Linked DNA regions of Oryzias latipes. The protein of the gene in region 2 purifies or fractionates together with the protein of the main gene of each other region. This does not show direct contact. Links are inferred from orthologs where the notes say so. Each region holds a gene or a part of one and is shown on either strand. Other genes may lie near its edges.

The links.
Region 1: the proteins of vps4a (region 2) and zfyve19 purify together in Homo sapiens (affinity purification with mass spectrometry; 3 studies listed by BioGRID and IntAct, counting the BioPlex papers as one, with this or other methods). This does not show direct contact. The link is inferred for Oryzias latipes from reciprocal best matches to the Homo sapiens genes VPS4A and ZFYVE19.

What each region holds. Positions count from the first base shown.
Region 1 is NC_019880.2:14,826,179-14,830,633, forward strand, and holds the start of zfyve19 (abscission/NoCut checkpoint regulator), read right to left. Parts: upstream 2,893-4,455; 5' UTR 2,706-2,892; coding exon 2,652-2,705; intron 2,559-2,651; coding exon 2,437-2,558; intron 2,348-2,436; coding exon 2,294-2,347; intron 2,209-2,293; coding exon 2,048-2,208; intron 1,956-2,047; coding exon 1,813-1,955; intron 1,675-1,812; coding exon 1,566-1,674; intron 1,448-1,565; coding exon 1,229-1,447; intron 1,125-1,228; coding exon 1,048-1,124; intron 897-1,047; coding exon 795-896; intron 704-794; coding exon 540-703; intron 323-539; coding exon 244-322; 3' UTR 1-243. Other genes in the region: bub1b (mitotic checkpoint serine/threonine-protein kinase BUB1 beta), read left to right, coding at 3,551-3,693, 3,814-3,873. UniProt on the Homo sapiens protein: Key regulator of abscission step in cytokinesis: part of the cytokinesis checkpoint, a process required to delay abscission to prevent both premature resolution of intercellular chromosome bridges and accumulation of DNA damage.
Region 2 is NC_019864.2:27,657,002-27,661,357, forward strand, and holds the start of vps4a (vacuolar protein sorting-associated protein 4A), read left to right. Parts: upstream 1-1,400; 5' UTR 1,401-1,590; coding exon 1,591-1,611; intron 1,612-3,342; coding exon 3,343-3,454; intron 3,455-3,528; coding exon 3,529-3,673; intron 3,674-3,749; coding exon 3,750-3,811; intron 3,812-4,114; coding exon 4,115-4,234; intron 4,235-4,356. UniProt on the Homo sapiens protein: Involved in late steps of the endosomal multivesicular bodies (MVB) pathway. Recognizes membrane-associated ESCRT-III assemblies and catalyzes their disassembly, possibly in combination with membrane fission.

The DNA.
Region 1 (4,455 bases), on a different chromosome or scaffold from region 2:
CTGGTACCTATTAAATATATTGCTGAGGTTAAACCAGGTTTCAGAAAGCACAGAAAGTATGCAAAGCTCTTCCTGCAAAGAGCTCCAAATTGATGGGTTAAAGTGAGATCTGCCTTGCGTTATTTAAATGTAGTGTCTACATTTTTAAGGTTCTACTTTAGCAACATTAATAGGACACTTTAAAGACTAGAGAGTCATGAAACAACAGCGCCTGATGAGACAAACAAGATAGCAGTTTCACTATCACGTCTTCTTTTTTGTCTTTGGCGCTGTGTATTTGGTAGTTTGATGCTCCATTCTGTCATATTTATCGTGGCCTTCCCTGGGGACATAATGGAAAAGGGGAGAATTGATAATTCATCACACTAAATACTTTATATTCACGCTGCTTAACAGTACAGCAGCGTGCCAACATTTTATCTGGGTCATAACATGCATTTCAAATCAACACTCTTGATATCAGAGTAAGGATTTCCCATAGAGGGCATCGTTTTAAGTCCTGGTCAGGAATATTAGCTCTAAAAATCTGAAATAGTTACCGGAAGCAGCGGTTGCAGTACAGGCTTCCGTCACACGTGTGACAACGAAGGCTGGCGTCTTGATTACAGATGCAGCACCATGGAAGCTCTTCTTCTTCACTGTCTGATGACTGATGCATGACAGCAGCAGGTGAGATTCTGCTCTTAGGAGCAGGAGCCGAACTCTACACGCCACAGCAAAAGAAAGCAGTGTTTTAAATAAAATGCAGCCAAACAGCTTAAAAGAAAACACAGAATTTTGATCAATGAACATACTGATTTTTTAGACTTTTTTTTGTTTTCTGTGTTCCTGGGGCCACTCTGCTCCATGGGTATATTGTAGCCACTAGCTTCATCAAGAGCTGCCTCTTCTGAAAGCTGGAAAGTCAGAAAAACTAAAAAACATCTTAGCCAAACAGCAGCCTCTTGTGGTCAGAATGAAATGCTGTCCTCAAAAAGGTGCAACAAAGTAAGTGTTTAGTTTTAACTGCATTGTGAAATGCCCTCTGCTTTTCTGTGAATGCCTTACCTGCTTCAAGATTCTCCTCACAGCCTCTTCTTCAGTCTCTTCATCACTGTCAGGACTCTGGAAGTCCTCCATTGTGACTAAAAGTGTATTATAGAAATGTCAGTTACAAAGTTTTAAATTCAAAGTCTAGTCATTTTTCTCCGTCATAAAACTATAAATGTTGGTAAACTGCTCCCTGCACCTTTTTCTGGGTCCTGCCCCTTGAGCTGCGCCAGCCTCTTTGCCATATGGAGGACCTGCTCTTGGGAATGTTGCTCCTGCCTCAGCTCCTGCATTGCCTCCTCGAGAAGACGGTCTTTGTCCGCCTCCAAATGTTTCACCGTCTGCCGATTTTCCTCTAAGTTCTCATCCCATGTGGCACCTTCCCCTTTGTTCAGATCATTCATATGGCTATTTATGTCTTTGAACAAAAAATAAAATATTTAGAATGAAACCAGTTTTCCATGATTAGATTGTAGGGGCAGTAAATTTTATTGCTTTTTAATTAAAACTATTTTTTTAAACAAGCAAAACATTACTTTGTTCATGGTTTAACTGCTGGTTGTCAATGCAAACTTCCTCTGTCATCTGAGTAATCAAATCATTAGCTTGTTCAGTCTGAGTCCGTTTATCAGGAAGCTGGTGAACCTGTCCAGACGAGAGCATAAGGATGTGTTAGCAGGTAGACCATACTATTACCGGACTATTTATGAGATACTTGAGACTCTACCTGGGTTGCATATTTTATAAACCATCACCCATAAAAGAGGTGGGGATTTAACTCACAGGAGGAGGAGCTTGAGATGGTGGTGGTTGACCCCGTAGAGCAGCCAGACGGTCCTCCATTTCCTCTATGGAAGGCACTGGCTGGCTGGGTGCTTTGAGAGCAGCGAGACGAGACTCAAGATCACTCTGAGAGGGAGATGGCTCTATAGAAATGGGGAAAAAAGTATGACAAATAGGAGGAAAACTCATGTCTATTATAGGTGTTTAATTTATGCTCATTAAAAAAAGATCCTACTTGGTCTAGTCTCCTCTTTTAATCTTTGAAGACGCTCAGCAATAATCTGATCTTCTTTACTTAGACCTTTACATGGTAGATGACCCGCTTTGTTGCTCCCTCCATGTGCAGCAGATTTCACAGACTGTCCCTGCTGTTTGGCCTCAAGGGCGGCGACACGCCTGTAAAAGACAGTAACTTTAGATAGTGTTCTTAATAAACCCACATGTATGTATTTTCCCCCTTTTAATCTGATCACATACTAACTTCTTGTAATTTTCTGGTGGGGACCATCTTCCGGCACTGCTCGGAGGTTCTCCACTGATGAAGAGAATAAAAACAAAAGATTATTCGACTTTGGAGAGTTCATCAACATAATTCAGCAGCACTTTTTATTTATATATTTATACCTTGTCAGATTACCGTGACATTGCTTGCAGACCTTCTGTTGAGTGTTTCCGCAGCGAGGCACCACAGCACTAAAAGCCAAACAGCTGGGGCAAAAAGATCGCCCGCAGTTTTTACAGCCCAGCTATAAACACAATATTATATAGAATAAGCCTTCAGTACACATTTATCAAAACACAATCGTGTCATGTTCATATTAGCCATGATACTACTATACCTCTTTTTTGAAAAGACTAAACTTGGATGCGCAGCAATAACAGCGACCGTCCATTCTGCCCCTTCATTAAATATGAGGTTATCACATACGATACACCAGCAATTAAATGTGAAAAGAACTTTGCAAAATTAAGAAAAAATAAAATTAAAAACACAGAAAATGCTTCCTCCTGTTCTTGTATTATATTACTGAACGTAGCTAGAACCAATACCGGAAGTAAACCGGAAAACGTCATTTGTCGTCATCTTTGTTTTTCCGGTATTTTCAACCCACCAATCAGCTTTCTCCTTGTGTTCTCGCGGGACTTGTTCAAAAAAAACAGCGAGCTAACCGTTTCAGCTTTGCACGGTCCAAGATTTACCTGCTTAAAAACTAAAGAAGCTTGTAAGTAGTAATAGTAATATTTCATGTTTTATATTGAAGAAAATTTATTTTATTCTAATTGATTTGCCGAGTCTAAAAATACGGCCACGATTAATTTAAAGCATGCGAATAAAGTGATGGAATATCCATGGTTACACACTCCCACCCTACGCTAAGCTAACTAGCTTTTCGAACAACAACAACCTGTCTTTTTTTCAATTCTCAGAATGAAAACATAATCTGTTTTATCTCAGAATGAAAACATAATCTGGCATAGTTGGTTGCAGCTTGTAGGTTTACACGGTAATACCCCGTCTTAACTGTTTTGTCTACTGTTGATATTTGTGGATTATGGAAATCCTGTAGCAGCACAAACTGATTAAAATAAAATGTATGTATGTAGCAAAGGGCAAAATGACCATTGTTGTGATTAAATTCACATAATCTTTGGTTTGCTTACCTTTAATATCCTGTGATTATTTCAAAGTTTCTGATTGGAGTTTTTTGCCCTCTCCACCTTTTCCAGCATTTCCACTATGGCGGAAGGTGGTGATGTGGAATGGGAGCTAAGCAAAGAAAACATTCAACCACTAAGGCGGGGAAGAGACATATCTGCCTTACATCAAGCCTTAAGTCAGCAACAAGATGGACCCACATCAGCCATAAACCAGCAGAGACAGTATGGATGCTTTTGCAAACACAGCTATTGATCTGAAAGATTTTCAGCTGAAAATGTTTTGGAGTTTGAACATAGTTTTGTTTCCATTATTTAAAAATGTAAACTATCCTGTGTTCACAGAACATTTGAGTCTGAGCTACGCATGTATGATGGAGACGATCCTCTTGGTGTTTGGGATAGGTAAGCGACTTCTAACTAGGAATGCAACAATTCACCTTCCCTACAATTCGGTTCAGACCTCGATTTTTGGATCAGATATGTCCCGATCTGTTCACGCGATTGGAAATGGGGCCCAAGCTTGTAGTTTAATCATTATTGAATGTTTTATTTCCATCAGGAATCAAATATTTATTTAATTCTTATTATGATCAGTGTTACATACATCAAACTTATTATTACAGATAAATGCTCTGCTGGAAGTCTGCATATCATGAACAGATACCAACATTTTATTGCCTTAAAGCTCAGCAGAGTATGGCACTAGTTTGAGTAGGAGGTGGTTGAAAACAATTGGATAAAGTTAGCAAGAAATTCATTGATACAGACTTTTCAGGATCAATAACTCCTTTTAATAAACATTTAAAACTGACAGGAAGTGTCTGTATTGGTTTGTCCTAACACAAACAACATTCAAATTTCATATTAAAAGAAAAATATTAGTTTTTGATTTCTTTTTATGAGAATTGCTCAGTCTGTTTTGAGAAATTTGTACCTGAGCTGCCAACTGAGAGGCGGCAGTGAATCTTACACCGTAAATATACT
Region 2 (4,356 bases):
TTACTTGTGGCAGCTTGCGTCCTACACAATCATAAATGAAGCGTTACATGAGGATAAAGTGCTGCTGCAGCAACTTATATGCAAAGTATTGTAGACGTCTTTCCAGTATACAATGTATAATGATAATGTAGTTATTTCAAATGTAAATAACACCAATAAAACCTTTATAAATTCTATAATCTGATGTTTCTTTTTCTTTTGTGTGAAAAACCACATCCTAGTTAGATTTTTTAGTTTTTATTTGTTTTTACTCTACTTGTGTGAGAGAATTTTTTTAATCTAAATGTATCTATTTTTAACTTCTTAAGTCTGAAAATAAACACAAGTTAATAGTTGTACAAATATCAAAAAAATTGACTCTTTTAGGTTGTAATTAAATGACTTTGGGTGATTCTGTGTTAAGTAAATAAACTTGGTTTCATCTGTTTAAATCGGGTTATTTATAATAGCTATGCAATTTATTTTCTCAAGATTTTTTTGGTTTTTTTAATTTCTCTGAAGCTTAGACAAAATATTGTTAATGAATCAGGTCTATCATTAATTTGAGCCATTTCTTTCCTCTGACCAGCTGAGCCATGTAAACTCTGTAATCGCCTCATTTCTTAACTTGTTTTTTACAAGTACTAGTTTAATATTTTTACATTTATATGTAATTATCTTTACCGTCTAGTGCATAACTGAGCAAAGTGGAAAAAAACTAACCCTGAAGAAACCACAAAGTCAGATTTGGCCTGGGTTTGTTCTTTTTTATTTTTTTTCTCTTTAATTTCTAATTGTATTTTTATTTTACTGGCTGTTGTTAATTGATCCAATCAAAAAGGGAAAAACAAACAAAACATGTCATGATTTACTTTCAAAAAATATCAAATTTTTCCCACCAGCAAATGTGAAATCCTAAGAACTTCTCAAGTTCTTGCCATTTGAGCATGTTTGATTTGTGTTCTAACACTTATTTATTACTATTTCTTTACAGCCATCCAATTCACAGCTGGAGTTCTCTCAAGACTATACAAAAAAAGATTTAAGTTGGGGGGGAAAAGTAATAATTGAAGATTGCTGTAGTTCATTTAAAGTCCAGATTGTTTCTAAAAGAAATTAACTATGTGCATACTATTTTAAATGTGTGTATTGACAAAGTTCGCCGCTTGGTGGCAGTAGCGGTTCATCGTTGACTATATTTCTGACGTCAATACTGTGTGGCCACACAACCGGATGTTGGTTACTTTCCTTTTCAAATTAAATTTCACAATTGTTGTCATTATATTTTCTGTTGTTTAAAGTAAAAAAAAACAACATATTTTTGTTATATACTATTTTTTTACTGTGATGGACAGAATTTACAGCTCTTAATCCCGCCGTTTTCAGCTCAATTTTGAAAACAAAATAACGGACGTCTCTTGCGCATGTGCTAGCTTGACGGAAGTTGCGGTGTTGATGTGGTTTTGTTTGGTGAAGCTGTCGCATTTGTTTCTCCATTTGTCATGTCATTAGCTACACGTTTCCTCCTAAAATAGCCCCGCGGGCGGTTTCGCTTCTCCACCTTTGGGGAGGGTCACAGGAAAGACATTTGGGCGGAGAACAGAAGATGAAATGACAACGTCAACATTACAGGTAGGCTACTGCTCGCTAGCTAAACGCCAGCAGCTAGCCACAACTGACCCGAAAAAAAAATCGGTTTTAATGTTTTAAAGTTATATTTACTTTAATGCTAACTTTTCTTTTTGTGCTAAATAAAACACTTTGCAATGGGGCAAACGTATTCACGAAACACCTATGAGTGTTTTAGAATTGTCTGATCATGCGTATGTTCTAGCTGAACCTGATATGAATTATTAGTGGTTTTCTTTTTTTACACATTTCTTAATTTAATCTATGAAAATATAATTTCATGTAGAAATGAGAACAGTTGAACGTGGTTACTGAAAATATGTGAATGAACTGCATTCCATTATGAAGACTGAATTGTTTGCTGTCAACGTTCTAGCAAAATTCCCAACAAAGTTAAATACTATCAAATATTTCAAAATTATGTAAATATAAACATGATTTAACTGCAAAATTTGATTAAAAAAGTTAAAGACAATTGACTTCTAAATGCAGCATTAGTTAACACGTTTTAATACTGATGTTGACATTTTTGTAATAGTGACTATAAAGTTTAGGAGAAAGGTCATAAGACATTATAAAATACTTTACTCTAAAATTGGAACTAAATTAAGTAGCAATCAATTCAGACTTTTTTTTTTAAACCCAAAGTACAAGAAAATTTGGTTGTATCATAACCTAAACTGGACAATATTGTATTTTTAAATGATTTTATTGTGTAGTTTCAATGAGAGTAAGATTTTTTTAATATAATAAAAATAAGAGAAATGAGTAAAACTAAGGCCACAATCAAAAGTCCCCTGAAGGAACTGAATTTGACCTAAATGCCTAAAAATCTTCTGAAGATTTATGGAGCAGAAATGTACAGGATAAAAACAAAGTTCAGCTTTCACCCAAATATTGGCCTTTTGTCCAGAATCATGTAGCTGTTGGTCTGGAGTTTTGCTCCGTTTGCATTTTTCCATGGTTTCTGTCTTTGTTGCTGCAAATATTCAATAATAATCACCTGCAAGCCTCGTAATCAGCGGTAGAAAATTATCTAAACTTGCACTTTTTCTCAGAAAGGTTAATATCATGCATAGCTGCGTAAAGATGTGAATTATTACTGCTTTTTTGATGGCTGGAGGTTTATTTTTAACGTTTTTTGAAAACTATTTCCTGAACTCTGTGTTATTCATAGGCTAAAGTCAGACGCACAGATCATGTTATTTCCGTTTTAATTTGTTTAACCCAAAAACAAAATGTCTTTATTTCCTTTAGTTGTTATGTAACCCCATACAGATCCCAACTGTTTATAGTCTCTCAACATTGGTTACCTGTTGATTTCAAGATTTTTTTTAATTTCTGTGGTTTTATGCAAACCTGTCCACACTAAACCCACTAGAACTTCATGATTACAGAAATCTATTGGACGGGTCCAGATCCAGAAATAAAAAGAAGGATTTCAGTCTTCAAACTCATGTACCGACACTATGAAATAACTTCACATAAAAATGAAACATTTCACTTTTATTACTTTCAGGTTTATTTTTAATTCATTTTTTATGATGTTATTGAAAGTCTTTCTGGTTTATTTTTTATTTTTTTCGTCTGCAGCCACGTATGTGCTATAAAAACGTTATTGAACATGACGTACATGAAGGTTTTTAGTTTGTAAAAAACTGCTGTTGTCTTTTAGTTGCTTCTCCAGCAATGTGTGTGTTTGTAATTTGTCCTTTCACTTTGCATGTCCTTCAGAAAGCCATCGATCTTGTCACCAAAGCCACAGAGGAAGACAAGGCAAAGAACTACGAGGAGGCCCTGCGCTTGTACCAGCATGCAGTGGAATATTTCCTGCATGCCATCAAATGTAAGGATTTTGTGTAGCGGTGCTGCGGAGCGCGGCGCCACCTTTCTAACCGGATTTTTCCATTTGCGGCTCAGATGAGGCCCACAGTGACAAAGCAAAGGAGAGCATTCGAGCGAAGTGCATGCAGTACCTGGACAGAGCGGAGAAACTTAAGGACTACCTGAAGAACAAAGACAAACAAGGAAAGAAGCCCTTCAAGGAGGCACAGAGCAATGACAAGTAGGCCGTCACCGACTTCTGATGTTCTCATAAAGAAGTCCAGCTGTGCTTGAACGTTTCTGTCTTTGTGTTAAAGGAACGACAGCGACTGTGAGGGCGAAAACCCAGAGAAGAAGAAACTGCAGGAGCAGCTTATGGGTCAGTCTCTGGTATCTTAAAATAAGATTTCTCACATAAATAAATAAAAAAGTTTACAAAAGTATGTTTCTGGTTGTGAAAGGATAGTAGCATTATTTATAGATCTGCGCATTTACACACATTTTTATGTTTTCCCTCAATGAGCATGTGTGCCTCCGCCTCCCTCTGAATACAGACTGATTTAACAAATAAAAGTTCCTGAAGAAAGGATTAGTTGTTATGACTATTCATAATTGTGTTGCTGTAAATCTGCATGTCGCCTGCGCTCCTGCAGCGGTGTCACCTCCCTCGTCTTCTGTTTAGGCGCCATTGTTATGGAGAAGCCCAACGTCCGATGGAACGACGTCGCTGGACTGGAGGGAGCAAAGGAGGCGTTGAAGGAGGCTGTCATCTTGCCCATTAAATTTCCTCACCTTTTCACAGGTGACTCAGTCGGTACCGAATAAAAACGCAGATTTCAGGGCTTCATTTCAGACGCGTTGGTCACCTGTATTCTATTCCGTTTCCCTGCACCATCCTAGCCAATTATTTTAGCTTTCCAGAAA